Linked DNA regions of Drosophila melanogaster. The protein of the gene in region 3 interacts with the protein of the main gene of each other region in a pairwise test. Each region holds a gene or a part of one and is shown on either strand. Other genes may lie near its edges.

Region 1 (8,829 bases), on a different chromosome or scaffold from region 3:
GTCCATTTGGGCCATATAGGCACATAAAATGGGTGCTCCAACGCTTGCCGTGGGAAAGTGTGCTCCAATTGCAAAGTTGTAACATTGAGCGACATTTGATGAAGGTTACCGACTTTTATCTCGACAAAAACACACACGAATTCCAGATGAAGCGAGCGTGCGTAGTTTGCACTGCAAGTTTTTTTTTTGGAACAAATAGTTTTATGTTTATATCATTTTATATCATATTATATTCCTTATTGATTGAGTGTCTGCACGGGTCATTAAATTAAGAAGCAAAAAAAAAAAAGGTGTCAGGAATTGCATTCCATACTCCTACGAGTAGATATCAATTTCACCCGATCGTGGTCAATTGGTCAATTGAAGTAATTCACAATTGAATCAATACAATACCATATAGGGCTTCATTGAAGAAGATGCCAGCAGGACTGGATGCTCATGCATGAATAAGTTGAACGTTGAACGCAAGCAGAATGGATTTCAGCACACACCGCCTGACCACTTTGCTGCTCCTCCTCCTGGCCACAGGTGAGATATCGCAATCCAGATATTGCGATCTAATAATGAGGGAATTTCTCCTGCCCACAGTTGCCCTGGGAAATGCCCAAAGCAGTCAGCTCACCGTCGATTCCCATGACATCACCGTTCTGCTGAACAGCAACGAGACTTTTCTGGTGTTCGCCAAGTGAGTTGCCATTGCCGGGAAATCCAAATCCAAAACATATGGCATCGTAAATCTATTGTGCCCATTACAGCGGATTGCTAGACAGCGACGTGGAAGTTGCGCTGGGAACAGATTCGGAGGATCATTTGCTCCTCGATCCCGCAACGTTTGTGTATCCAGCGGGCAGTACTCGAAATCAGTCGGTGGTGATAACTGGCCTCAAAGCCGGCAACGTCAAAGTGGTCGCAGATAGCGATGATGCGAACAAAGAGATGTGAGTAACTTCACGGGAATCCCAACTGTTCCCGTACCTAATTGGAAAATTCACTTATTTTCCAGTGTGAAGGATGTGTTCGTACGCGTGACTGTGGCCAAATCGAGAGCTTTGATCTACACCTCCATCATCTTTGGCTGGGTTTACTTTGTGGCCTGGTCGGTGTCCTTCTATCCGCAGATCTGGAGCAACTATCGCCGCAAGTCCGTCGAGGGACTGAACTTTGATTTCCTGGCCCTCAATATCGTGGGCTTCACCCTGTACAGCATGTTCAACTGCGGCCTCTATTTCATCGAGGATCTGCAGAACGAGTACGAGGTGCGATATCCGCTGGGAGTGAATCCTGTGATGCTCAACGACGTGGTCTTCTCACTGCATGCCATGTTCGCCACCTGCATTACGATCCTTCAGTGCTTTTTCTATCAGGTAATAATATATATAGCAAATACCATTCAATAGCCTTATCGCCGAAGTGGCAACAGTTGTCGCATTGAACACTAATTGCCATCAATCAAAATGCCAAATCATTTGAATCACAGCGGATAGTTACGATATGAAGAGTAGATAAGGTTTTGACTTGTAAAACATCCATACTTTGTTAAATTTGTCCAGAGAGCACAGCAAAGGGTGTCGTTCATTGCCTACGGAATATTGGCCATCTTCGCCGTGGTGGTCGTCGTGTCTGCCGGTTTGGCCGGAGGATCCGTCATCCATTGGCTGGACTTTCTGTACTACTGCAGTTACGTCAAGCTAACCATTACCATCATCAAGTACGTGCCGCAAGCTCTGATGAACTATCGCCGGAAGAGCACCTCCGGCTGGAGCATCGGCAACATTCTGCTGGATTTCACGGGAGGAACGCTGAGCATGCTGCAAATGATTCTGAATGCTCATAATTACGGTAGGATATAGTCTATCAATTTGTGATTTTCGAATGAAATCGTGTCTGGTTTCCAGATGATTGGGTGTCGATTTTCGGTGATCCCACCAAATTCGGACTGGGTCTGTTTTCCGTGCTCTTCGATGTGTTCTTCATGCTGCAGCACTATGTGTTTTACAGGTGATTGAAACATTGTGTGAATATGATACTTAATCTACGATTATGTCATCTCCACTGTACACTTATCATTATTGCTGTGCTGTTTTCCATTTCTCCCCAGGCATTCGAGGGAATCCTCGAGCTCTGACCTCACCACCGTGACCGATGTTCAAAATCGAACAAATGAGTCGCCGCCGCCGAGCGAAGTGACGACTGAGAAATATTAGAGCTGCATTATCATATGTCTGCTGTAGAGAAAGACTTTTGTGCCAGTAGCGCTTTATGTACATTTTTAGAATTGTAAATATATCCGTATGCCGTAGCTGCCTAAGCTTTGTATAATTCGTGCGTTTTAATTGAAATTTAGTTTGACTAAAATTTGGAATTTCACCATTAAATAAAACTTAATTTTTTGTAGGAGCCAGAAATCATACGGTACATTGCTCGACCATTCAAAGGGCTGTGCAGTGAAACCAATTTGCTGCATACGGCGCGTTATTTGCAAACTAATAAATAGATTGAAGTATTGAAAAAATTTCAAAACAGAAATTCTAACTTGCCGCACAATGGGCAGCACTGTTCGCACTCGGCCAAATCCTTATCGATAGCTTATCGATAGCCATGGATATATGACATTAAGTTAGCCAATTTCCGGTTAGTTGACATCCCTGGAGCACGGAAGATTCTTGCGGACACAAATCGCAACTGCTAAATAAAATTTATTTATTTGAGTGCACAGCCATGAGTCTTCACAAGTCCGCGTCGTTTAGCTTGACTTTTAACCAGTGAGCGGAGATATTTTATTCGGTCTTACCCAACAAAATAATGTTGCGCCTTTTTGCAGAAACACTTCGATTGTTTCGCGTAGCAATAGTCGCACAATTTTTGAAGCTTTCAAGGAGTTCCTGGATTTTTGGGATATCGGCAACGAAGTTTCTGCAGAGTCAGCAGTTCGGGTCTCCAGCAACGGAGCTTTCAACTTGCCGCAGAGTTTTGGCAACGAATCCAACGAATATGCCCACCTGGCTACGCCTGTGGATCCAGCCTACGGAGGCAACAACACGAACAACATGATGCAGTTCACGAACAATCTGGAAATTTTGGCCAACAATAATTCCGATGGCAATAACAAAATTAATGCATGCAACAAATTCGTCTGCCACAAGGGGTGAGCAAATTCAAAACACGCGCTCCAATCGATAAACATTGGCTACGGCGATTGTTCGCGCTGCGTGGCGAATGGCAAAATCCAAATAGTCGGTGGCCACTACGATTCTGTAGTTTTTTGTTAGCGAATTTTTAATATTTAGCCTCCTTCCCCAACAAGATCGCTTGATCAGATATAGCCGACTAAGATGTATATATCACAGCCAATGTCGTGGCACAAAGAAAGGTACAGTGCGGCAACAAATTGATGATCGAACAGTAGAAACCTTGCATGTAGCAACACGCTTGTACTTGCATCATTCGCGCGGCCAACTTGTTTGTGTTTGTTTATCCAGCCAAGGCGCAGTTTGCCACTAAGTTTTTATTTCCCTTTTACACTTTAGCACTGATTCCGAGGATGACTCCACGGAGGTCGATATCAAGGAGGATATTCCGAAAACGGTGGAGGTATCGGGATCGGAATTGTGAGTACCTGGTCACGTGGTCACATGTGGTTTGCCTGGTTGCTAACTATTATTGTTTTTATTATTCCAGGACCACGGAACCCATGGCCTTCTTGCAGGGATTAAACGTGAGTTGTGCTTTTAATGTGCAAAGCTATAGCTTACTAACTATTTAATATTATTCCCCGCAGTCCGGGAATCTGATGCAGTTCAGCCAGGTGGGTAACATCGATTAGCTATTGCATCTTGAAGCGCTGGGACAGATCGGCCTGCACGAGGATCAGCAGGAAGCTGGCCACCGCCGAGAAGACATTGCTGATCAGTCGCATGTCCAGCTCGTACAAGCCCAAGGGTTTAATTTGGTACTTGGTCACCGTGACCAGCAGAGTAAAGCCGTGGACTGCCTGACGGTAGCGGCTGTCCGCATGCTGGAGATTCATCTCCTGGAGAATGACTGCCGATCTTCGGGTGGCCACCAATAGGTGGTTGCACAAATGCGTGAGCAATGTGATCTCCGCCAGCGAGATGGAGAGGAAAACCAGATTGATCAGCGATCCAAGACCATCGTACGGCTTGCCCATGATTAAGGTGTCCGCTATGGCATAGTACAGACTGTAGAAACCCACCGTTATTCCGAGCAGGTGGCATATGAGCGACAGAATCATGGACAAGGACATTGGGGTCAGATACTTTCCCGAATGCACATATATCAACCTATAGCGATACGCCAGCTGGTCGAGTTCATCCGCCAAGGCGCAAAATCGCTGCATGCGGTAGTATTTAGTGTACAACTTTAGCTGGTCCTTCCTCTGCAGCAGATTCACCTCCTGCAGCTGCGCTTCCAGCCGTCTGTTCAGAGCGTACAGAATCTCCTTCACCACCACCATTGCGCCAAAGTAGCAGTTATTGAGAAAATTCGAAATAATTAAGGGAAACAGCCGGTACAAGGTCCAGATCAAGCTCATCTCGGGATGCTGCCGCCTCTGTTGCAGTATGAAAGCCACTTCAATTGTTAGAGGAAAAGCCACGGTCTTGACCAGAGCCAAAACGATGGATATGTACAGCGACCTGCTGTCCAGACGGAATTCTTTTAGGGTATCAAAGAAGGGCACTTTGCTCAACACCTTGGCCACATGGTCACTGATTATCATTTGCGACACATAGTTAATAACAGCCACCGTAATGTTCATATAGCTGTACAGAGTGGTGGCGTCCTTCAGGTTGATCTGACCCTCCTGGTACTCCTTGTAGATTTGCCGCCCGTAAACCAAGCTGAATGCAATTGCCCACAGCGAAGCAAAGGCCAGATTTGCCTTTGAGAAGCGGAATCTTTCACGACGGCCCGCCCGATATCGATTGGCCAGGAGTCCGAAGACGGTCATAAAGCCTATCAGTATGATCGTCAGAAATTTCACCATACGCCGATGCGCGTAGTCGCTGGTGAAGTCCATTTCTCTCGAACAATTAATACAAACTGTGAGCGCACTTTCCACAGCATTAATATCTGCTTAATTGTTTTCCAACTACCCAACTGATGCCATCTAGAGGACCTGTCAAGTAGCCGGACACTATCGGGACACATCGCGAAACGCATGTATTTCACCGGCCGTCCAGAAACCAACTGAGCATGCGTTGTGCTACTACTAGCCACAAACAAAAGAGCATAAGAAGCGTGAGGGAAGCGGCATTCCTTGCGTGACTCAGCCGCTGCCTGCAATTTCATAAGAGCGACATGACGTCAAAGTCGCTTCGAAGTTCACTTTCAGTTGGAGGACAGAACAAAACACTCTTATCTAGCCGATTAGCACGGTGCACTCCTTCCCGTCGTCATCGTTTAGCGAGAATTTCAAGCACTTGTGAAAAATAGAATAGAATACAAAACAAATCGCCAGTCCATTTGTAACTCGAGCAAGCTGGAACATGAAGCTCTATCAGCTCTATGAGCGCAAAGTGTGAACCCTTATATGATTGCGAGTTAAGTTGACATTCAAATAATATCTTGTTTTTGCTTACAGCAATCCGTGCTGCGCGAAATGATGCTGCAGGACATTCAGATCCAGGCGAACACGCTGCCCAAGCTAGAGAATCACAACATCGGTGGTTATTGCTTCAGCATGGTTCTGGATGAGCCGCCCAAGTCTCTTTGGATGTACTCGATTCCGCTGAACAAGCTCTACATCCGGATGAACAAGGCCTTCAACGTGGACGTTCAGTTCAAGTCTAAAATGCCCATCCAACCACTTAATTTGCGTGTGTTCCTTTGCTTCTCCAATGATGTGAGTGCTCCCGTGGTCCGCTGTCAAAATCACCTTAGCGTTGAGCCTTGTAAGTGAAGATAACAATACAGATCGAACAGGATTATTTAACTATCATTTGTACAAACCTTTAGTGACGGCCAATAACGCAAAAATGCGCGAGAGCTTGCTGCGCAGCGAGAATCCCAACAGTGTATATTGTGGAAATGCTCAGGGCAAGGGAATTTCCGAGCGTTTTTCCGTTGTAGTCCCCCTGAACATGAGCCGGTCTGTAACCCGCAGTGGGCTCACGCGCCAGACCCTGGCCTTCAAGTTCGTCTGCCAAAACTCGTGTATCGGGCGAAAAGAAACTTCCTTAGTCTTCTGCCTGGAGAAAGCATGGTAAGGTGACAGCAAAACTCTAGATGGCTAGAACAAAGCTTAACGTGTTTTCTTTCTTGCAGCGGCGATATCGTGGGACAGCATGTTATACATGTTAAAATATGTACGTGCCCCAAGCGGGATCGCATCCAAGACGAACGCCAGCTCAATAGCAAGAAGCGCAAGTCCGTGCCGGAAGCCGCCGAAGAAGATGAGCCGTCCAAGGTGCGTCGGTGCATTGCTATAAAGACGGAGGACACGGAGAGCAATGATAGCCGAGACTGCGACGACTCCGCCGCAGAGTGGAACGTGTCGCGGACACCGGATGGCGATTACCGTCTGGCTATTACGTGCCCCAATAAGGAATGGCTGCTGCAGAGCATCGAGGGCATGATTAAGGAGGCGGCGGCTGAAGTCCTGCGCAATCCCAACCAAGAGAATCTACGTCGCCATGCCAACAAATTGCTGAGCCTTAAGAGTAAGCAGTGAATCGGAGGACAAAGAGATTAAGCTTTACTTACCGAACTTTCCTTTCAGAACGTGCCTACGAGCTGCCATGACTTCTGATCTGGTCGACAATCTCCCAGGTATCAGATACCTTTGAAATGTGTTGCATCTGTGGGGTATACTACATAGCTATTAGTATCTTAAGTTTGTATTAGTCCTTGTTCGTAAGGCGTTTAACGGTGATATTCCCCTTTTGGCATGTTCGATGGCCGAAAAGAAAACATTTTTATATTTTTGATAGTATACTGTTGTTAACTGCAGTTCTATGTGACTACGTAACTTTTGTCTACCACAACAAACATACTCTGTACAAAAAAGCCAAAAGTGAATTTATTAAAGAGTTGTCATATTTTGCAAACATATCCTCGTGGTGTACGCCAATGCCCAGAGCCTACTGTACCCCCACCGTGGAGCACATGCTATGTGACATGTGTGGCTTGTGTGCGGTCAATGCACTCAGGATGCAACTCAGCTAGCTAGCTGCTAATATGTCAAAATTGCTGCGTCGCATTTACATACTTTATTTATACCCGTATCTGCACGTCTTTGGTTTTAGTTCTATGCTTTCAAAAAAAAAAAAACAACCTCAAGCAGGGCGCATGCGTTGCGCCAGCGTTGCACATGTGCGAGGATGCAAAAAAGTGCAACAAACACCAGATGTTGACACTGTGCCGCTGCAGCTGCAGGCGACTTTAGCTTTTGCCACATGCGGCAGCTAAATGTTTACTCTAGCCCACCGATCGCTGTTCATTGACCTAGGGCAGGGGCATTAAGTGCGCCCTAATCGTAACGGAATGATAGCCTCTGTGTCCAAAAATTCAGCCAAAGCGGATGCACTCACTTCCATTTGGGGCCTGTCCTTCTTCGACCGGCTGCCACTTCCACTACCAGTTTGGCACCACGAAAATGGGTCGTTCAAAGTGCTCAAAACCCAGCGGAGCAACTCACTCAATTCTCGTTGGACGAGCGCACAGAAAAGTGGTTTTGGATACGAGTTGAGTTCGAGAGACCTTTCTGCACTGGGAACATACATGCGGCTTTGTGTAACAGAATAATAAAGTACGCAAACATATCTGTAATACTTAAAGCACAAAGAACAAATATAAATGTATCATAATTTGTTTAATTATTTATTCGAGGTTTCCAAACAAGTCATTCTGATAACAAAAGTTGTAAAAATAAAATCCACTAAAATTAAATATCACCCACTTCTCAGAATAAGCACAGCTGTATATACTTCAGTATATATTTTTTTCAGTGCACTTTTCCCAAGCGATGCAATCGCCTTAGAAGCCCAATTAAATACGTTTCTTTGATTGGCGGGTGCCAAAAGGTTGACAATTCGAAAGTGGCGCACACTGGGAGGCAGTGACTCATAATTTACATAATTATTTCGGGAAGATATTAAGACTCATACTATATTCAAGCAGTTGTTTATCATTTTAAACTGGCAGATACCCCATCTTTACGGACCAGATAAAGGGAAAGCAAACACGGCTGGGCTCTTATCGGCTACGATCTTCATCCGCAGTTCCCACTGTGCGCGTGGGGAAAACAATATGGCCCAAACACATAAAAAACAACAAAAAAAGGAAACAACCACAGAAAGCCGGGCTAAGACGTCAGGTGAAACGCAGTAGCTTCACTCGCGACTCGGCGCTTCCACTCAAAGGTGCTACCGCTGCCCACTCAAATCTGCAGCTCGTAGATACGAAAACCAGATAGCGTCGAGCGGCTGGCGATCTTCACTCAATGGGGGGAAATACTGCTATAGAGTCGAAAGCTTGTACACGTAGTTTGGCATTCGCAGTCGCTTGTTGGCGTTTTTAGTCTGCTGCCTGATCTTCGACGCGCTGCAGCTGTTTTGGAGTCGCCGCGAGTGCCATATTTGCTTTGACCGCGAAAATTTCTGGGCTAAAAACAGAGATATTTGAGATACAGATACATATATCTCATATCACATATTAGCCAATTGTGGGTGCAACAAGCTGTGAGTGATGGTGGAGACGGCAACGACAACGACCATAACCCGCACCACCACCGCCGTTCCGGCTGGTGCAGTAACGGTAACAGGACCCACTGCCTCGGCCACGCCCACCGCGACACAGGCGGCCGCGCAG
Region 2 (5,910 bases), on a different chromosome or scaffold from region 3:
AACATGACAACCACTAAAAGCTTTTTCGCGGTTAACAGCGAAAGCTCCACGGAGCCGAGAAAACTGAGATATATCCGTATCTCAACACCCAGCTGAGAAATATGAATGAAAGCCGTTTTAGATATAGATATAGAATTAACAGTAAATACTTATGATCGCTACAAGTTACGAGCATAAAACAACCAATATGAAATCAGAACGGGCAACTAAATTTTTTATTATGTATTAAATATTTAAATAAATATGTGCAAACAATTGATTAAATTATTTAAATGTCGTTCTTATCTTGGATTTTCTTTCAGTGTGCGCGGAACTGGAAATATTTGCATGACGTTTGTCAAAATGTAATTGAAAAACAAAAATCATTTCCCATTTTTTTTTATATCGATTTCTGAATTGTGCAAAATCATTACAAATCATCATAACAATCGTCGACAAAGGTTAAGCAATTGGCTGACCATTTAATTTTCCACAAGTCCAATTCAAGGACAAGGAAAACAGAATATGTACATAAGACCCCTTGAAAGTTAACGACACCCAACAAAAGCCGGTTTACCCTAAATGCAAATACATTTGCAGATTCGAAGCTAAAAAGGAAAAAAAACCAACAAAAACTCGACAGCTGACTTCTTTTCGTGTATTTGTATTTATTGTATTCGTTTATTCACAAATGAAATGCAAAATTCTCCCGAGTGTTGCGCCTGTTCTTGTTACAAAAAGTATAAACTCAAAGGGAGCAATGAATCCTCCAGTTGTTTAGCCTAATAATACACACTAAAATTTTGTTTTTTTTATGCATTATGATAAATGGAGTTTAAAATCACTTAGTCTAGGATGTTATGATGATGATGTAATGATGTGATGTGTGTGAATGTAATACATTGGGTGTGTTGTGGTGTGTCCTTTTTAGTCTTGCTCTCTCCGAGCAGCGCGGCAACACTCCCGTTTCTTCTTTTAAATTCTTCTTTCTCTCGTGCTTCGGATGTGTTTTGTTTCTTAACTTCTAAGTCAAATGAAATTTTAAAAAATTGATCTGTGATTAAGCGTCATTGAATATACATACATAACGTGCATAAATGCAAGCAAAAACATATTGACAGCAGCCGCAGCCGTAGAAAATGCAGAAAAATACATAAAATACATTTTTACTTAACATCAACTAAGATAAAACCAACAACAGCAACATGACAACCACTAAAAGCTTTTTCGCGGTTAACAGCGAAAGCTCCACGGAGCCGAGAAAACTGAGATATATCCGTATCTCAACACCCAGCTGAGAAATATGAATGAAAGCCGTTTTAGATATAGATATAGAATTAACAGTAAATACTTATGATCGCTACAAGTTACGAGCATAAAACAACCAATATGAAATCAGAACGGGCAACTAAATTTTTTATTATGTATTAAATATTTAAATAAATATGTGCAAACAATTGATTAAATTATTTAAATGTCGTTCTTATCTTGGATTTTCTTTCAGTGTGCGCGGAACTGGAAATATTTGCATGACGTTTGTCAAAATGTAATTGAAAAACAAAAATCATTTCCCATTTTTTTTTATATCGATTTCTGAATTGTGCAAAATCATTACAAATCATCATAACAATCGTCGACAAAGGTTAAGCAATTGGCTGACCATTTAATTTTCCACAAGTCCAATTCAAGGACAAGGAAAACAGAATATGTACATAAGACCCCTTGAAAGTTAACGACACCCAACAAAAGCCGGTTTACCCTAAATGCAAATACATTTGCAGATTCGAAGCTAAAAAGGAAAAAAAACCAACAAAAACTCGACAGCTGACTTCTTTTCGTGTATTTGTATTTATTGTATTCGTTTATTCACAAATGAAATGCAAAATTCTCCCGAGTGTTGCGCCTGTTCTTGTTACAAAAAGTATAAACTCAAAGGGAGCAATGAATCCTCCAGTTGTTTAGCCTAATAATACACACTAAAATTTTGTTTTTTTTATGCATTATGATAAATGGAGTTTAAAATCACTTAGTCTAGGATGTTATGATGATGATGTAATGATGTGATGTGTGTGAATGTAATACATTGGGTGTGTTGTGGTGTGTCCTTTTTAGTCTTGCTCTCTCCGAGCAGCGCGGCAACACTCCCGTTTCTTCTTTTAAATTCTTCTTTCTCTCGTGCTTCGCCAGCGAATCTCGTCGTCTTCTTCCTCCTTCACGACTTCTTCCTCTTCTAGTCTTCTTCCTCTTCTCGTCTTCTTCATCTCCTAGTCTTCCTCTTTTCGTCTTTTACTTGCTAGTCTCCATTTTCTCGCCGCTGCCATTTTCGGCTTTTCCATCGCCAGCCTCGGGTGCCGGTGCCTTGACGCTCAAATGGGCAGGCCCCGTTTGCTGGATCTGGACAATGCGCTCCGACTTGGCCTGTTCCTTGCTGGGCGGCGGCGGGGCCTTGAGGGTCAGCACACCGTCGGATGAGACAGTGGACACTACCTCGTTGGGGTCAAAGCCCTTGGGCAGGGTATACTTGCGCACAAAGTGACGCTGGATCATTCCATGGCCGTCCTCGCGCTCCTCGTGCTTCCCCTCTACCACCACGGTGTTGTCCACCACCTTGACGGTCAGCTCGTTGGGCTTGAACTGCGACACATCCATGCACACCTGGAAGCCATCTTTGCCCACGGCGGGCAGCAGAGCGTTTGGACCCCCCGACGCGCGACGTGACATTTGATTGTGGTGGCCATGGCTCCTCTCGTACGGCGAATAACGACGACGACCCAGTCCCAGGGTGTTGGGCAGTAGCAGGCGACGCGGATGGAACAGATCGTGGGCATGGACGCCAAAACCGAAGTCATCCTCCAGCAAATGCCCCCAGTCGGTGCGGTAGTCATGATCCAACTCCCGGGCCAAGTGCAGCAGTGGTATAATTGACATTTTTGATTTTTTTTCTCTTTATTCACAACCCTGTCTAGACAAAGGAATTTTTTTTGCTTTTTCGAATTTTTTTAGCGAAGTTTGCTTCAACGTTTGCCTTCAATTTTTCAGTTTAGACTGTGCTCGGGCGACGTTGACGCCGGCTTTTATACTGACGCTGGGCTCACACACACTAGTGCATGGCAACCAGGGACGGAACTTTAATAAAATGATGGGGGGTTGCCATCTTCGTTAGATTTTGCCTGCAGAGAAGGTTTTCCCTATGATCCCCTAATGCAAATATAATAATATTTAGATATAGGCAAGCAATTATTAGCCTGTCAAACTTAAAATTTAAGCGACATTTAAAAGCCCCTTTGAATACGCCCCGTAATTCAACAAACAGTTTTCTCTCGCATCTTCTGGCTCTTTCTAGCACAGCCGGCTTTTCATAGAGAGAGGGAGAAAGAACCAGAAACTTCTTGACATTTCTTTTCTGGGGAGTTTCTCTTTGCGAATAAAAAGCAAAACGAACAGTTAAAATGCAGTACATACATATGTATGTACATGTACGTATATATGCAGATATATGTATTTATTTAAAGCATTTTCTTCTCTTATCGCTCTTTTAAAAGCTGTCTTTTCAGAGTGCAACAGAGCTTGTATTTTCATTGGACAAGTGCATTGAACCCTTGTCTCGCTTCGTTCTGCTCCTCATGTTTGCCGTTCTTTTGTTTGTTGCAAACATTTTTGCAGTTGCTTTCGCCACTGCTTCGCGAAGTGGGAAACGGGGCAATTGAAAATTTTGCAAATCATTGCCAGTCTGTTGCAAGTGTTTCGATTATTATATGTACATATGCATACATTTCTATATATATGTATATGTGTATATAGAATCTTTTTATTCTTGGTTCACCAGTTAACCAAAATACATAATTATTTTCAAAACTACATGCATACATACATATGTATGTGTATGTGTGCATGCACGTAATTATTTGCGGTAACATACAAAAATGAAGTTCAATTTATACATGTACATAGGTACGTGCTATAAGGACGTACATAACGTACATCTCTTGTAGAGATGACAGAAATTCATTAAAAAGAAGAGAGTGAAAAGGGATGTATATTCTTATGTACGTATGTATGTACATGATGTACTTATGCATGCTTTACATAAGGATTTAACCTTGACTGAAGTTCCTTACATTCATAGCTTCAAGTCTCTTTACCGAAGTAATGTAAAAAGTCAGTTATGTACACAAACAACAATTAAATAAAAATGCCATTTTACGTGACACAACAATGCAATATACAATGCAGAAAGTAAATTCTAGAAACCGGGATCACAGGAAAAAGGGCCAAGCTAGCCAAACAATTCCCAAAGTAATAGTAATAGTAACCCATAACCAACCAGAAAAACAGACCAAACACAATTATAAGTAAGTGTACTTGTTATTTATTTTTATGGGTAATATTAATTTCGCCAATTTAGTAATACATATTCCAAACTAAGATTAAAGCAGGACACCCTTAATGGCTATTGTGTATGAGTGAAGTGTCCTTGGATAACTACAGCTTATAAAACAGATGTATGACTTTGATAATGGTTAAATAATGCAGGGCATCTCTCGGAACGAGTCCTCTACTTATCGTTGCCATTGTCCTGCTCCACCGCCTCCTTGGGATTCTCCTTCACATTGAGATGGGCGGGTCCCACCTGCTGGATCTGAACGATGCGCTCGTTGCCCTTATCCTCGATTGCCGGTGGCTTGGGCACCTTGATGGTCAGGACACCATCGGAGGACAAGGTGGAGGCCACCTTATCAGCCTCATAACCGGGTGGCAGAGCATAGCGGCGGACAAAGTGACGAGTGATGAAGCCATGGTCATCTTCGCGCTCCTCATGGTTGCCCTCCACCAGGACGGAGTTGTCCTGCACTTTGACCACCAGTTCGCTGGGCTTGAAGTGCGACACATCCATGCAGACCTGGAAGCCATCCTTTCCGATTTTCGACACGGCTCCCGACGATCCCGACGAGGCGCCCACCTGTTTCTCCAGCTGGCGCAGCTGCTGCTCCATCGGTCCAACCAGGGCCAAGTAGGGATTCCTCTGGCGCTGGCAGTAGTAGGGCTCATAGAAGGGCACCATCGACATTCGGCCCAAATCGTCGGCAAGGCTCAACAACAATGGAATATTTGCCATTTTTGTTTTTTAATTGCTTCAAGATGATTCTCCTTCAAAGAATAAACTTCTTTTGTTGATAGGTTACTTTCGCTTTAGCTGTTATCGCTTTGGCTTTTTGAATTCAACTGACGCCGGTTGCACGAAAGTGCCGGTTATTTATACAACCGCTCGCTATCGTAGTGTGCGTGCGCCCGTCGGCGCTGTGTGTGTGCGCGTCGTGTCTGTGTGCTAGGGGGCACAAACATCGACATCGAGAAGGGACACGAAACTTCTCGGGCTGAAAATATCGCAGAGTTCTCGAATTTGCCGCAATTACGCATTATCTGCCATTGAAAGTGAGAGTATCGCTATGGAAAATGAGCAATCTCCTAGGGGAGTGGGAATGAAAAGGCCTGGTGGAGTGATAAGTCGCATCAGCACCGGCAAATATTATGTGTATGTATAGATGTACGTATGTAAGCACGTATGTATGTACATACATAGCAGATAGGAAGGTTGGAGTATATTCCACGAAGGATGGAGTAAATTCGCGAAACTTCGAGACTGCAGAACAGTTCTTCTTTTTATGGCCTGGCATTTAAGCTATTAACTTTAATTAATATCCAAGAATGGGGCTCTGTAGTGGGGAAATCTAATTAAAATACATAAGTGGTTAATGCCGGGTAGGTAATAACCCATGGGATGTAAGCGTATTATTACTCCAATCAGTAAGAAAATGTAAAAATGATACGATTTGGAACATATGTACATTCATACAATAAAGGATTCGAAGGATGTAAAAATTATTTGAATAAAATGTAATGCAACTATTTTGAATTTCAAAGGTCGATAGA
Region 3 (6,222 bases):
GGCCTACAGCAGCCTGGTGGTGATGGCCATGCTGCCCATCATCTTCGGCTCCATCCGCTCCGTGAAGCTGCACAAGCTGAAGAAGGTATGTGAAGCAGACTCAGCCCGGAAGCTGCATTAACATGTTTCCCGTAATTCCCACTCCCTGCAGTCAACGGGCGAGAAGGCGGACACGATGACCAAGAAAGACGCCATGTACTTCCCGCTGATCGCGTCGGCAGCCCTCTTCGGGCTGTACCTGTTCTTCAAGATCTTCCAGAAGGTGCACATCAACTACCTGCTCACCGGCTACTTCTTCGTGCTGGGAGTTATTGCTCTGGCGCACCTGCTCAGTCCGGTGATCAACTCGCTGATGCCCGCCGCCGTGCCGAAGGTGCCCTTCCACATCCTGTTCACTAAGGGGGAGGGCAAGCACAAGGAAGACATCGTTAACTACAAGTTCTCCACGCACGACATTGTCTGCCTGGTGATCTCCTCGGCGATCGGAGTGTGGTACCTGCTCAAGAAGCACTGGATCGCCAACAATCTGTTCGGTCTGGCCTTCGCCATCAACGGCGTGGAGATGCTGCACCTGAACAACTTCGTCACGGGCGTCATCTTGCTGAGCGGCCTGTTCTTCTACGACATCTTCTGGGTATTCGGCACCAACGTGATGGTCACCGTGGCCAAGAGCTTCGAGGCGCCCATCAAGCTAGTGTTCCCCCAGGACCTGATCGAGAACGGCCTGAACGCCTCGAACTTCGCAATGCTGGGACTAGGCGACATCGTTATTCCGGGCATCTTCATCGCTCTGCTGCTGCGCTTCGACGACAGCAAGAAGCGCAAGACGCGCATCTACTTCTACTCCACGCTGATTGCCTACTTCCTTGGCCTGCTGGCCACCATCTTCGTGATGCATGTGTTCAAGCATGCGCAGCCGGCTCTGCTCTACCTGGTGCCAGCCTGCATGGGCACGCCCCTCCTGGTGGCCCTCATCCGCGGCGAGCTGAAGGTGCTCTTTGCGTAAGTGTGGACTGCGCTGGGCGCTCGACTTGAAACTAAACTAACTCATTCTCGCCCCCACTGCAGCTATGAAGATCATCCCGAGGAGAAGCCCGAAAAGAAGGAGAAGAAGGAGAAGGACGAGGGCGTCAGCTCGTCCGGCAGCAAAAAGAAGGAGTCGAAAAAGGGCAAGTAGAGCCGGGAGGACGCAACATCCGAACAACATCCCCACTCGTTCCATCGTAAATGTCTTCTGCAGCTAGCCAAGCTCCCTTTCGTTTCGATATGGCTTCTCCATCTACCGCAGTCCATAGCTCATATGGACTAACACCGCTACAAAAGACGATTCACTTACTGAGTTAGTTATGTACGTTCCTTGGCCAGGCACAACAATCTTATTTAGTTCGGTTAGGTTACAATTGTAGAAAATGTTCCCTCGACTTTTTTACCGCAATCAATTTAAATATGTATTTCAAATATTTCTGTGGCTCCGCACAGGAGGCTTATATGTTTAAGAACAGTTTAGATACAAATATATTCCAATTTTTGTAAACAGTGCAATTTTGACTACGAATTCTACATTGCATTTCTTAAAACTAATGCAGTAATTTGTGTAAACAGTAATGCGAATAAATTTTAATTCTAACGTTTAATTAAACTAGTTTTGTATTGAGTAGAGGGTTTTTAGGAATGTAACGGCTTAAGAGAAAAACCTAATACATTTTAAGTTGAGCTTACCAAAATCCAAAGAATTTTTAAATTTAAAACATAATACAAAAGTGCTTTGAAAAAGTCAGTATTTTAATACCACTGTTTATCCACGGCCACACTAAATATCGATAACCGCATAGTGAGACCCTTTGTGTAGAAAAACTTATACCTTTAGCGAGCACAAGCGTTCATTCCTGAAAAATTGCGGTAAAAATTGCGAAAAGCGCGAGTTCCCCCCGCGATTGCAAATAATTAATTTGCTTGGAACCACTGGAGACGCAAGGACGAACAGAGAGGTAGGTGCTCTTGCACTTAGCGCGCCAAAAGGCGACAAAGCCCCTCGTAGGCCACTTACCCACACACACACATTCGCAGACAGACGCGCGTGCAAAAAAGGCCAAGTGGGACTGCTAGCGGAAATCCAGGACTCGAGGACACGTTCGGGCGGCAGTAGAGAAGCGAGCAAGCAGCGACGACCATGTCCGGCATTGCTATTACACGATTGGGGGAGGAGCGCAAGGCCTGGCGCAAGGATCACCCATTCGGGTTCGTCGCACGACCCGCCAAGAACCCTGACGGCACCCTCAACCTGATGATCTGGGAGTGCGCCATTCCCGGCAAGAAGTCCACCCCCTGGGAGGGCGGGCTCTACAAGCTGCGCATGATCTTCAAGGACGACTACCCCACCTCGCCGCCCAAGTGCAAGTTCGAACCGCCGCTGTTCCACCCGAACGTCTATCCCTCGGGCACTGTTTGCCTGTCGCTGCTGGACGAGGAGAAGGACTGGCGCCCCGCCATCACCATCAAGCAAATCCTGCTGGGCATCCAGGACCTGCTCAACGAGCCGAACATCAAGGACCCAGCCCAGGCGGAGGCCTACACCATCTACTGCCAGAACCGACTGGAGTACGAGAAGCGCGTGCGTGCCCAGGCCCGCGCCATGGCGGCCACTGAGTAGTCGGGCTCCTGCCAACCACCTTTACCACATAGACATTAACAAATACACACATCTAGCCGGTAAGCGTTTGTTTGGAATGCTCTCCACGTCTACTTACTTTTAAAGAATCGACTAATTTTGGATAGCCCCCGCGGCCCGAAGCATCTAATTTTTTAATGTTCTGCACTTGCTTAATTACCAGCATGTACCATCTGAATAAATACAAATAAGTCCTGTAATTTTTCGATGAGGCCCAAAGTGGCCACGTGGCACCCAGAATTCGACGCTCTTTTCAGCTTCCATTCTGGGTGCAGGTGCCGATTATTCTACGGGCTATTTTGTATCGCGAGTACTACGTACAAACCTATGTAATTTCAATAAAAATTTATTAGTTGTAAAAGCTTATGCATTTTAAAGCGGAAAGGATTTCCCAGCAAATGTGCAGTCGAGCACTTGTTGGTCGTCAGTAGCCGTACAGCTGGATTTAGTGCTTGAATTATTCCATATAAAGTTCTTCCTTTTGCTTATTATTTAAGTAACATGACTATTTTTAAATTTAAGCATTTTATTTAAAAACTTGTTCAGTCCATTTTTACCTTTATATTTTATTTGATTTTTAGGCATTTGAAGCTGGTCACATTTCCCAACTATTTCAGCTGATCTGGCAAGTCCGCCAACATTACTATGCATAATTTTTGGCTGATCTGGTAGCATTCGCTGCTGATATAGCAATGCTTCCAGCTAACGGTTCATTTCCAACGAGGCCGCCATATTGAAAAATGCCCAGTTAAAACACCTACTGAGATTTGTGTTCGCCTGGTACTTCAGTCTGGGGAATCCGGCATACTGACAGCTGAATTTATTATTTTTCCCGAGGATGCTCATATATTTCGAACTGAATTACCAGGGAAGCATAAGCGTGGAAAGGTGTTTTTAAAACAACCGCCAGGATTCCCAAAGTCTTGGTTTTGGTGGGCATGCTCTATTCTGAGTACCAGGCGAACAGAACTTCTAGTAGGCTACCAACGATCAGCTGATCTATCTGATGCCTGGTCTAATCTAACGGTTCTTTTATTAGGGATGCCACAATATTTTTCTATTGATCCGGTAATATGTCCGATGTTTGACAATATTTTAATCAATCTGGCAACTATGTCGTCATAACATTTTTCGCTAATCTGGCAGCACTCAAATCGTTCGTTGAATTCAAAAATGTAAAATGTCGTTTAGTTACTAATTTCACTATATTTTATATTGAATAAATTAATTACTTTTATTGTCGCACACACTTAATAAATAATGTACTCATTTAAATTACACAGTTAGAATTGCTCGCTTTATGGGGAACAGCGAGTAATTTACATTATAGTATTGGATCTACATTGGAATACTTCGCCTCCTTCTACTCCGCAGACCATTGCAAACTTGTAGTTTCTCGCCCTCAATTTAATTTCTGTCTAAGTGGTAAGCTTTGGCATGCATTATATGTCATGGTTCCCACTTAATGGGTATGCGCCTAAATTAATGTACCTAAGTATCTATGTGTTATTCCTTTAGGTGTACTGTATATGTACGGGAGTACGATGTATATATCTACTTCTATCGATCGGTAAGTCGAAGGAGTCAGTCCCCAAATGGAGTTGGAAGTGGAGGGCAGCGACGGGAGATTTTCCGGGAATACTGTCGTCGATGGTTGGTTGCGGTTTGGATAGTGTACATTTTTAAAGGAGGCTAGGATTCGATTAGTTTCGATTGGGTTGGGCTGCTGCTTAGAAGCACGTGTAATACCACTCAAGCTGCTTGCGCTGCGCCTCCCACCGCAGCTGGCTTTCTCAAATGGCCGCCTCCTGCAGGTTTTCCTTGTTCTTCTGCTGGCCGTGTCCGCCGACCAGGCCGCCAATGCCCAGGCCCACGGCAACGCCTCCGCCCAGGTGATTCGGACTGGGGCTGTCGCTGGCCTCGGGGCGAATGGGCTTGTTTTTGCAGTAGAACTGCTTGTGAGCCAGGTAGGTCTTCACGTAATTGAAGGATATGTCACAGGTTGAGCAGTACTTCTTCATCACCTCGGCGGCGGCAGCTGCTGCGGCAGCCACGCTGCTGCTGTTTCCCAGCGGAGAAGTCATCGGCGGAACCAGCCCGCCGGGCGCAGCATCCGCTCCGACTTCGATTGGCTCAGCCTTAATATGTGGCGTGGCGATCGGGGAGTTGTTGTTCTCGTGCACCAGATTCACAGTCGGTGGTGGATCCAGAGGCTCCGATTTAATGTGGAAACTGTGGACGAGGAAGTTAGAGAAGATATAGTAATAAGAATGTAGATAATTTCCTGTCATCCTTACCTGGGTGCTTCACCGTTGGATACATCGGAATTCGAGTGTTGGTTGGTAGTGGGGTTGGAAGTCACATCTTGATCTCTGGTGTCGGGGGAAATGGAGGGAGAGTTGATGGCCACATGGGGATGCATCAGCTTCATGTGGCGCAGCTGTAAGGAAAAAGCTATAGTGAGTTCTTTGGTCTGGCAGCAATAAAAAGGAGTACGCACCACATTGCCCTTGTAGGTGGAGACATAGTTGCAGTAATCACAGTTGAACATCTGCGAGGGATGATCCATGGAATCGTGTCCAGTTGTGGTAGATGCCCCTGTTGGAGTAACCAGTTCCTGACTCAGCGCGCTAGCATCCTCTTCAAAGATGCAGGTCATGTATAGCTCCTCGTTTACGTCGCTAGTCTTCTTGTCGAAATGGGTTCGAATGTGGGTGCGCATGCCGCGAAGAGTGTTCCCCTTGTACTGGCAGATGCTGCAGCGGTATGCCTTTACTGTTCCGTGCATCTCCATGTGTTTCTTGGCCAGTGCTGCTGTGGGACTCACTACCCCGCAAACAGGACACTTGTTCAGACTATTGGTGGCGGGTTGCGGATTGACTGTCGGCGCTGCGAGAGGATTCGCAACGGGTGGTGGACAAGGCAGACCAATTTCATGCAATGTCTTGCACTTTCCGCACTTCTCCTTTGGCATGCCCAGTTGGCCAGGATCCGTGGGCGTCGCGGCAGGGGCAGCAACTGCTCCTCCCTTGGGGCAATAGTAGTTCTGATGGGCTCGCAGGTTGTCCAGGGAAGTGTACTTAATTCCGCAGGCGGCGCAGATCAACTGTTGATATGCCACCGGTGTGGTTTCCACCGACGAAGCAGCCTCTGCAGCTCCGGCTCCCAGTCCTCCTGCTCCAGCGATGGATGGTGAAACGGCCGACTTGACATCCACTTCACTCGCACCTTCTTGGCTTCTTGCCGAGCAATAATGCTGTTTGTGTGCCAAGTAGTTCTCATACTTGCAAAACACAATATTGCACTCCATGCACTTGGACACGCCCTTTTTCACATAGATCTGAGGCTGCTGGGCGCCACCTGCCGATCCTCCACTACCCGGATTCCCACTACTAGTTTGGGCAGGAAGAGAAGCGGGCGGGAAGGCTGCTGCTCCACTACTGCCCGCCACAGCAGCTGCGGCCGCTGCCGCCGCCAGTTTCAGAGCCAGTTCCGGGTTGGTTTTGGCCAACAGCGACTCGGAGAGTCCAAAGTCCGCAGGTAGCATGGAGCGC
Region 4 (8,809 bases), on a different chromosome or scaffold from region 3:
ACTACCGAGCATCTAATGACCATATCTGCCGGCCTTTCAGCTATCGGAGAGCGACGATGATGGCGTTTACACGCCGTTGCAGCGACCTGACGGTGCGGAGAAGGTGGCCAGTCCCCTTACCACCTGCCATCAGATCCAGACTGCGTTAGAGGACGAGTCACAAAGCAACAGCGACTCCTCGACTGCCGAATCCTCCGAGGACGGGTGCATCAAGAAGCTTCGTACGGAATCCACCGGACCCGACGGCCACAAGAAGCGGAAAAAGCGCATTCGGCGCACGGTAATGCGGCGCGTTCCGCCCACGGATGCTGAAATGCAACCGAATCGAGCCCGTTTCAAGAAGTACAACGTGTGGGCTTCTGCCCTGCAAGAGGATGCGCTCAGCGAGAATATGCGTGGCTGCGACGTTACCCGAAGCGGTCGGGATCGAAATGTTGAAAACTACGACTTCTCATTGCGATACCGGCTGAACGGCGAGAACACTCTAAAGCGACGACTCTCAAACTCTTCGGAGGACGGCGGCGAATGCTCCCATCCAGCTCACAAGAGGGGAAGACCTTCTAGTCGGCCCATCACCGGGAATCAACAGCGCGGTTTGGTCAAGAGTAGAACGGGTCACCGGTCACGTCGTGGGACATCTTCGGCCAGCGGATCTTCCGATTTCTGCGAGCCCAGACACATTCTGGACTTAAACGAAGTGGGTGAGAGAGATCCTTCGGATGTGGCTACCGAAATGGCCAGCAAACTGTACGAGGAAAAGGACGAATTACTTGGTGAGTATGTGAAATAAATAATGCCCTACTTAGTAAATAATGCCAGTTTTACCAGTTCGAGTCGTGGAGGTTCTTGGCATAGATGTGTGCCTAGAGCTATACAAGGAAACTCAGCGCATTGAAGCCGATGGCGGCATGATGATCAAAGTAAGTAGTAAAGGATGTTCCCCCGAATATACTAACACGATACCTCGAAACAGAACGGCATACGGAGACGTACACCAGGCGGGGTATTCCTGTTCCTAATAAAGCACCACGATAACATCACTCAGGAGCAGCAGAAGCGCATTTTTAGTGAGGATCGCCAGAGTCTGAGCAAGTCTCGAAAGCAGATCGAAACGTTGATGCGGGACCGTAAGGTGGAAGAGTTGAAGAAGTGCCTCAGCAAGCAGGTTACGGAACTGCCGACGTTAAATCAGCGCAAAGAGTACTACATGCAGGGCGACGAGCAAAGTGAAGATAAGCAACCGGGCAGCTGTAAGAAGATCCCATTATTATTGTTAAATCTCCTATGTGACTATTTTGACTATTTCAGTGTCCAACCCGCCACCCTCCCCTGTTGGCGCTGAGCAGGAGCACGACAGCCCTGAGTACAGGACCCACGAGATCAATATAAATCTTGTGGACAATGCGGAACTTCCCTCCACATCCAAAGCAGCGGCGGCGGCTCAGGGAGCGCCGCTGAAGGATTTAATCAGCTACGACCACGACTTTCTGGACGTCAATTGCGGGGACATGGACTTTTTCTAGGCCCACGCCAAGCGGCGGGCCCCTTTTATACTATTCTTGCATAGATAGACCCATATTTGTACAATTAAATAAATGCCTAGCGAATTAGGAATCTACGAAAGTAACGGTTGCTAACAAAGTAAACAAACGCACGCGTTAGGGCATTTTCGGGCTGCGTGAGACAAGACTCGGCCAGGCGGTAGAGATTTCCGCAGTGTCGATCGATAGTGTCAACTCTAGTCGGCCCACAGCGACGACGCCGCGTAAAATATTTTTGTTTCTCCGCATTCGTTGAAAAACAGCGGCAATTGCTTGTTTTTATGTGTGGTGCGCGTCCCAGGCAAATGCAAACGAGTCCGCGACTTCAATTGCCGAACGCCTAACGCCACCGTGAATAGAAAATAATAGTGATGCGAAAGACCCGCTCTCAGACGGCTCGCACGCAGGCGGAAAATGCCGCAACATCTTCGAGCCCCGGGCACCAGTCGACTTCGTCAGCGCCAATAGCAGTTAATCCCTTTGATTCCACCAAGTACAAGGTATGTTTCCGCCAGTCTCAGTTTATTCAGTCCAAAGAATTTTTCATAAATATGGGGGCCATGGTTATTGATAAGCAGTGTGACCGCAGAAAAAAATGGTGTCTGTACCCTTCCCCACCCACGAACAGAGTGATTTGCCAGCCAAATCCGCCGGCGCTTAACAACACTATCATCCGCCATATTTCTTCAGACCGTGCGGACAAAACAAAATTCGTGTGACAAAAAAGGGGGCATTTTTGCGGTAGTTTGTTTAAGTGCAATTTGCGAAAGAAGGAAGGCTGCCAGTGGCGAACACAAGCCTTACCAAATTTTCTGCATATACCAACGTTAAAAGCCACTGAAACCCGATCGGTTCCACGAAAAGAAACTTTTTGCGAGAACGCCATGTTTGAGCATCTAGGTAATGATTTGGTGGCATGCGGCAGTTTCGGACCAGTAAATTATCCACAGATGGGAAAAATGTGGAAGCCAGGCTTTTGTCCGACTGTCAAGCAATCACTTGGCATATAATGTAGAGCGAATTTATGATTTTTTCTGCATAAAGCCGCACAAGGCATACGCATGTGTACATATGTGCGAAAACGCGATATTTGCATATAGAGCGCGCTTGTGTGTGTGTTCGTGTGGACGCTTGGTGCTAAGTCCCGCTATTTGGACATAGACACCTTCCCAATTTTCCGAAATACAAAATTTTCATTGTTCGCCATGCCATTTCCGTCTCTTCAGGAATGTGAGCAAATGGTGCAGATGCTTCGAGTGGTCGAGCTGCAAAAAATCCTGTCGTTTCTGAACATCTCATTCGCTGGACGAAAAACTGACCTGCAGAGCCGCATCCTCTCGTTCTTGCGCACCAACTTGGAACTGCTTGCCCCGAAGGTCCAGGAAGTCTACGCCCAGTCCGTGCAGGAACAAAACGCCACGCTGCAGTACATCGACCCAACCAGGATGTACTCGCACATCCAGCTGCCGCCCACCGTGCAGCCCAATCCCGTGGGCCTCGTGGGCAGCGGCCAAGGTGTGCAAGTGCCCGGCGGCCAGATGAATGTGGTCGGCGGCGCACCCTTCCTCCACACACACAGCATCAACAGCCAGCTGCCTATTCACCCCGATGTGCGGCTGAAAAAGCTAGCCTTCTACGATGTACTCGGAACGCTAATTAAGCCTTCAACTCTGGTGCCACGCAACACTCAGCGCGTCCAAGAGGTGCCTTTCTACTTCACGCTCACGCCGCAGCAGGCCACCGAGATTGCCTCTAATCGCGACATTCGCAACAGCTCCAAGGTGGAGCACGCCATTCAGGTTCAACTGCGCTTTTGCCTGGTGGAGACTTCGTGCGACCAGGAGGACTGCTTCCCGCCGAACGTAAACGTCAAAGTGAACAACAAACTCTGTCAGCTGCCTGTAAGTATTATCCGATTATCCAATCAGGACCTGGTATAATATCCTGCTCTTTATTCCAATGCAGAATGTCATTCCTACAAACCGACCAAATGTGGAGCCCAAGCGTCCGCCGCGACCCGTTAATGTCACGTCCAATGTAAAGCTGTCGCCTACCGTCACCAACACCATAACGGTTCAGTGGTGTCCGGACTACACTCGTAGCTACTGTCTGGCCGTATACCTGGTAAAGAAGCTCACCTCAACACAGCTTTTGCAGCGAATGAAGACGAAGGGCGTAAAACCAGCGGACTACACGCGAGGCTTAAGTGAGTTTTCTGTGCTCCAATGATGCAAACTTAATAATAAATACCATTTTTTTAAAGTCAAAGAGAAGCTGACTGAGGATGCTGACTGCGAAATAGCCACCACTATGCTGAAGGTTTCCCTTAACTGCCCGTTGGGCAAGATGAAAATGTTGCTGCCTTGTCGAGCATCAACCTGCTCGCATCTGCAATGCTTCGATGCCAGTCTCTACCTGCAAATGAATGAGCGTAAGCCCACGTGGAACTGCCCTGTATGCGACAAGCCGGCCATTTATGACAACCTGGTCATAGATGGGTAAGAAATGTCATTTCATTTAGCATATTTGTAACTGATTAAACTCTGTTTTCCAGCTACTTCCAGGAGGTGTTGGGCTCGTCGCTTCTAAAGAGTGATGATACTGAGATTCAACTTCATCAGGATGGATCTTGGAGCACACCAGGACTACGGAGCGAGACGCAGATCCTTGATACGCCTTCAAAGCCCGCCCAAAAGGTTGAGGTTATATCGGATGACATAGGTAATCGCCTAACACGCAACCTTTTAAATTGTTTTGACATTAATCAAGTTTTTCGGACATTACCAGAACTTATCTCGGATGACGCCAAGCCAGTAAAGAGGGATTTGTCCCCAGCACAGGACGAACAGCCCACATCAACGTCAAACAGTGAAACTGTAAGTAGAGAGCACCAATCTACAACCTACCAAACTGTCTTATCATATGACTGTATTCTGTCTGCGCAACAGGTTGACCTAACGTTAAGCGATTCAGACGACGACATGCCGCTGGCTAAGCGTCGTCCGCCCGCCAAGCAAGCCGTCGCCAGTTCCACGTCGAACGGCAGCGGTGGCGGCCAACGTGCCTATACCCCGGCACAGCAGCCCCAGCAATCCGGTACGTTGGATCCCTTTTTGCAATAAGCCAGTAACGAGAATTATATCTCTGTATAGCCAAGAAATCTTTATGTTTACAAATTGCTAATTGTAGACCCTAGGGTAAAGTAGTTATAAGAATCCATACACATCCCATTTACATACATCCACACTGACTCAACCACGCTTCGGCACCAATAATTTAGACAAAGGAATGAAATCCTAACAAGATCAAGCATTTAGGTTTCGGTTCACCTTTTACGGCACACCTCTAGGACATCATTTAACGTAAAAGTATTTTTTTGGTGCATCAATTGTCTTAAATAATATTAGAAAATTTTAACTGCAAAAGTTCGAAAGAGTATTCACATTGTCCAAAATGAAAATTACATATATGTTACATATGATTCTGACTTCATCATCACTTATTGTTATTCAAATATAATTAGGTCCCCGATTCCGCTTATGACTTTAGTGCATCATTTGATTTTAGTATGAGTACACCCAGTTAAAATTAACCCAATTTTACGTGTAGTATGTACAAACATATGTTTATGTTTCAAAAAAGTGACCAGAAGGGCTATTTATCATGATAATTTTGTGTTAGATCTACGGAGTCCAGCATCGAAAAGGTTTCCGTAGATTTCGTAAAATCCCCTAGCCAAAACTTGTATAGACTAAGTAGGCTATAAATTGACTCTATCCGCTTTCGTTGCTTGTATTGTAGGTGGTAATGTTTTTAAAAAACCTCAGAAAGCGGAGGAGCTTTACAAGCGTGTTCATTTAGGAGTTTGGCTGCGCCCACGGTATGTTTTCCGTCGATCGATTGTGAAATGGTTCGGGTTTGGAACAAGAATCCCATACTTAATCAGAACATTCTTACAGAAAACCCAAGCCAGAGAGCTCAAGGCGCCCAAACGTCGGCTAAGCAAAGTTAATAGAGTATTTTTCGGTTTTATACCACCATTTGTCCTAATTCATTTTCAATGTATTTTCTGTTGTCACCGAATCTAAATTATTTCACGATATGTACTCTTATTTTAAGTGATAATTTTAATAAATCATGCCAGTTTGTTAGTGAAGGTTTTTGTTGAGAGCCTCTTTTCCGATTGTTGTTGTGTTAACCTAAACCCAAGGTTATATGATGATAATAACTAAACTAATTCAAGTAACTTGTGCATTTCTTTGTCTTTTTTCTTTCTCTCTCTCTCTTTCTCTTCTTCCCCTGATCTTTTTGTGTGACCCGTCCATGCTGCCGCCGATGCAACTCGTAGAATCCCCAGAACAGCAGGCCAGCCGCCAATCGCCAGAGAAGCAGACAGTCTCAGAGCAGCAACTGCAGCAGCAACAGCACGAGCAGCCAGCGACGGCAGCCGTCCATGCCTCCCTCCTGGAATCCCTGGCTGCTGCGGTCGCGGATCAAAAGCACTTCCAACTGTTGGATCTGGCTGCGGTTGCGGCTGCTGCAGCTGCCACGGCGTCCTCCGGCCAGAGCCAGAATGCCGGCCCGTAGGCAGGACCCACATCCCACACACATTAATCGCACATCTCGCGGCTCGCGGTCTCTTACTGTTATGGTCCCTATATTGGCCCGTCCAGTTTCTGTTTTCGGTTTCACTTCCGGTGGCGCACGGCCACATATTACCTTAGAGGCTATTCTTCGGCGTTCGATTCGCCGCCTTGCATCACCTCATTATTCATACTCTATCAATCGCGAGCCACCAACTGATGCTTGTAATTCTTGTGTTGCAGGACGCAGGCATAACAGACAGGTTTTGTAGGAGAGGGTCCCCTGTTCCCGAATGAATCCATGTGCTCCCCCATCGGCCAGATTGTTGCTGCCCCTTTTTTCAGTTGGCTCACACCAAAACACTTTGCTTACGTCCCGTGTCTTTTATTCGTGTCGTCTCGAGTAGTTAGTTGTGTTACGCTTTGCCAGCGCTCTCAGCAACACACGCCACACCACACAGCAACTGAAATATTCCTAGATATTGCAAATACACAAACTAGCACCAGCATTAATTAGCAATTACTATAGGAAACGCAATTAATTTATTTTCCATTGAAGCGGTCAGCGCAATGAACACTATGAGGAAAGCGAAATGAAAGGATGCATGCCAGGCGGCGGCCAGTCGCGGCACCAAAATTTAAAGTAGTTAAGTTATTTTAGTTAAACTACGGATTCTGTACGGATTGGAGGCGGTGCTGTGTGCAGTTGGAGGGTGTTGCAGTCCTCGCATTTAAGTTACGTTGCAAGACAGGGCGGAATGGCATATGGCATTAAAGGTCCATAGTATTGAAAGCAATCGAAGCCGTTTTTATCAATGCAAATCGATTGGAAACGACGGATTATGTATGTTATGTATGTCGTCCAGCTAGACGCTCAGTTTATATGACCTCCCTGGCCTTTGTTGGCGTATTTAAGCTCAAACCGTACCACCACGGATTTATATGTTAAGATTTAAAATTGAACAATGCTTTGACTATGACATGATGCAAACCCCCTAAATATCTGAACGAACAAATATGAAATCAATGTACAAGGAGATGTGTACTTTAACTATACGATTAAACAATTTTCAACCAAGACCTGTCGTTTTATTTACCAACGGGGGTCAAGCTCTGTTTTAAGATTAAACTGATTTTTCAATTTTTCATTCAGCATCCCGTTTCTAATTGAGCCCACCTGAAACCTTTTCTTTACTTGCAGAGGATAATGACGAAAACTGTATGGCTAAGGCCAAAGAGGATTCCGTAATTGATCTTCTAGATTCGCCATAAATCGCCGCCGCAAAGATCTTACAAGTAAGGTCCTACAATATCATTAGGCGACCCAAAGAATTAGACTTGGCCTGTTAAGTTAACTTAATGCGCCACAAGTGTATTGTAGCATTCTAAGTATGTTATATTTTTCAGTAGTTTGTATACAAATATTAGCTAATGATTGACTTAAATGAGAATAAATGGCTTAAGACAACACGAATTAGTTGGGATTATTTTATAGCTGCATTTTAAATTTCGCGCCAATCAGCTGTTTTTCACTTTTTGAACAGGTTGGCAGTCCCAGTACAACTTTTACTTTTGTTCACGCGCGTAGTTGCCATATTTTCAGGGGGGTTTCTAATACAGTTTCTTTTATTTAGGAAAAAGGTTTTTTTTTTTAAGCAGTACTTAATGAAATAGTAATACAATGGAACAATTAAAAAATCTTTGAAATGAGAAGTTGGAATTGCAAAATGCATTAGGTCTGTTCCCTGTTAATCTGCGCCCATGCCGCTGGCTTCTTGTTCACCTTGATCGCCATTTGGTGTGTGAATTCTTCGGGAGAATGTCGAAGCCAACGCTGTACTACGCCCTTTTTAGTCCTCCTGCCAGGGCATGCATCCTGGTGGCCAAACTTATTGGACTGGACCTGGAGCTCAAGTAAAAGAACCAAAAGAATGGTGCACTTTTAAATGCAGATTGCTAATGCAAGATCTTTTCGAATCCTTAGACCCGTTGACTTCGCCAAGAAGGAACACCTGAGCGAGGAATTTGTCAAGGTTCGTTGGATTTGAAAACCGTTGATTTCGTTATGTAACGCTGGCTTCCTACAGCTAAACCCCCAGCACCAGATCCCGGTGTTTGTGGACAGCGATGGCGAGGTCTACGTGGACAGTCACGCCATCGTGTGCTTCCTGGTAGCCAAGTACGCCGGGAATGACCAACTCTATCCGCGGGATTTGAAAAGGAGAGCCCACATCGACCATCGCATGCACTACGAGAACGGAGTGCTATTTCAGGTGGTAAAGGACATTGTGGCTCGGAACATTTACGGTGGCGAGGGAGAATACAACCCCCGATCGCTGACCCTCTGCCACAATGCGTACTCCGACTTGGAACACTTTCTGCAGCAAGGAAGTTTCGTGGTGGGCAACGAACTGAGCGTTGCCGACGTGTCCATCCACACCACTCTGGTGACCTTGGATCTGCTCATACCAGTGGAACGGGAAAAGTACCCGCAGACTAAGCAATGGATGGAACGCATGGATAAGTTGTTGCCCGACAACGAGGAGATCAACCTCAAGGGTGCACGGGCTCTGCAGACCCGCATCCTGAGCTGCATGGCCGAGAACAAAGCGAAGAGCCAGTAGATTCCTTCTTAATGAGGCTCTCATGTTACACATTCACAGCCAACGTTTTGTGTTCCCCATG

The links.
Region 1: the proteins of lwr (region 3) and p53 interact in a two-hybrid assay, tested with the Drosophila melanogaster proteins (4 studies listed by BioGRID).
Region 2: the proteins of lwr (region 3) and Hsp27 interact in a two-hybrid assay, tested with the Drosophila melanogaster proteins (one study listed by BioGRID).
Region 4: the proteins of lwr (region 3) and Su(var)2-10 interact in a two-hybrid assay, tested with the Drosophila melanogaster proteins (2 studies listed by BioGRID).

Annotation. Positions count from the first base shown.
Region 1 is NT_033777.3:23,047,898-23,056,726, reverse strand, and holds p53 (p53), read left to right. Parts: upstream 1-2,644; 5' UTR 2,645-2,718; coding exon 2,719-2,762; exon of another isoform or gene 2,763-2,821; coding exon 2,822-3,145; exon of another isoform or gene 3,146-3,332; coding exon of another isoform or gene 3,333-3,370; exon of another isoform or gene 3,371-3,527; coding exon 3,528-3,608; exon of another isoform or gene 3,609-3,678; coding exon 3,679-3,715; exon of another isoform or gene 3,716-3,778; coding exon 3,779-3,805; exon of another isoform or gene 3,806-3,811; intron 3,812-3,823; coding exon of another isoform or gene 3,824-5,038; intron 5,039-5,496; exon of another isoform or gene 5,497-5,507; coding exon of another isoform or gene 5,508-5,537; intron 5,538-5,602; coding exon 5,603-5,912; intron 5,913-5,976; coding exon 5,977-6,223; intron 6,224-6,285; coding exon 6,286-6,680; intron 6,681-6,739; coding exon 6,740-6,762; 3' UTR 6,763-7,070; downstream 7,071-8,829. Other genes in the region: Ctns (cystinosin), read left to right, coding at 474-528, 589-685, 756-938, 1,004-1,364, 1,551-1,839, 1,896-1,998, 2,099-2,204; Gr94a (gustatory receptor 94a), read right to left, coding at 3,824-5,038; CG17121 (uncharacterized protein), read left to right, coding at 8,707-8,829.
Region 2 is NT_037436.4:9,381,183-9,387,092, reverse strand, and holds Hsp27 (heat shock protein 27), read right to left. Parts: upstream 3,031-5,910; 5' UTR 2,908-3,030; coding exon 2,266-2,907; 3' UTR 1,399-2,265; downstream 1-1,398. Other genes in the region: Hsp23 (heat shock protein 23), read right to left, coding at 4,535-5,095.
Region 3 is NT_033779.5:538,196-544,417, reverse strand, and holds lwr (lesswright), read left to right. Parts: upstream 1-1,837; 5' UTR 1,838-1,988; intron 1,989-2,038; exon of another isoform or gene 2,039-2,067; 5' UTR 2,068-2,170; coding exon 2,171-2,650; 3' UTR 2,651-2,709; exon of another isoform or gene 2,710-3,181; intron 3,182-3,249; 3' UTR 3,250-3,819; downstream 3,820-6,222. Other genes in the region: Spp (signal peptide peptidase), read left to right, coding at 1-85, 152-1,002, 1,069-1,177; ush (u-shaped), read right to left, coding at 4,462-4,900, 4,966-5,108, 5,169-6,222.
Region 4 is NT_033778.4:9,114,411-9,123,219, forward strand, and holds Su(var)2-10 (suppressor of variegation 2-10), read left to right. Parts: upstream 1-1,711; 5' UTR 1,712-1,912; coding exon 1,913-2,041; intron 2,042-2,207; exon of another isoform or gene 2,208-2,746; coding exon of another isoform or gene 2,747-2,767; coding exon 2,768-3,442; intron 3,443-3,506; coding exon 3,507-3,747; intron 3,748-3,804; coding exon 3,805-4,039; intron 4,040-4,095; coding exon 4,096-4,262; intron 4,263-4,328; coding exon 4,329-4,417; intron 4,418-4,477; coding exon of another isoform or gene 4,478-4,489; coding exon 4,490-4,637; coding exon of another isoform or gene 4,638-4,663; exon of another isoform or gene 4,664-5,342; coding exon of another isoform or gene 5,343-5,421; exon of another isoform or gene 5,422-5,500; coding exon of another isoform or gene 5,501-5,543; exon of another isoform or gene 5,544-5,695; intron 5,696-5,889; coding exon 5,890-6,128; 3' UTR 6,129-6,367; coding exon of another isoform or gene 6,368-6,396; 3' UTR 6,397-6,406; downstream 6,407-8,809. Other genes in the region: Phax (phosphorylated adaptor for RNA export), read left to right, coding at 41-773, 829-920, 974-1,250, 1,309-1,523; GstE13 (glutathione S transferase E13), read left to right, coding at 7,944-8,038, 8,109-8,157, 8,212-8,748.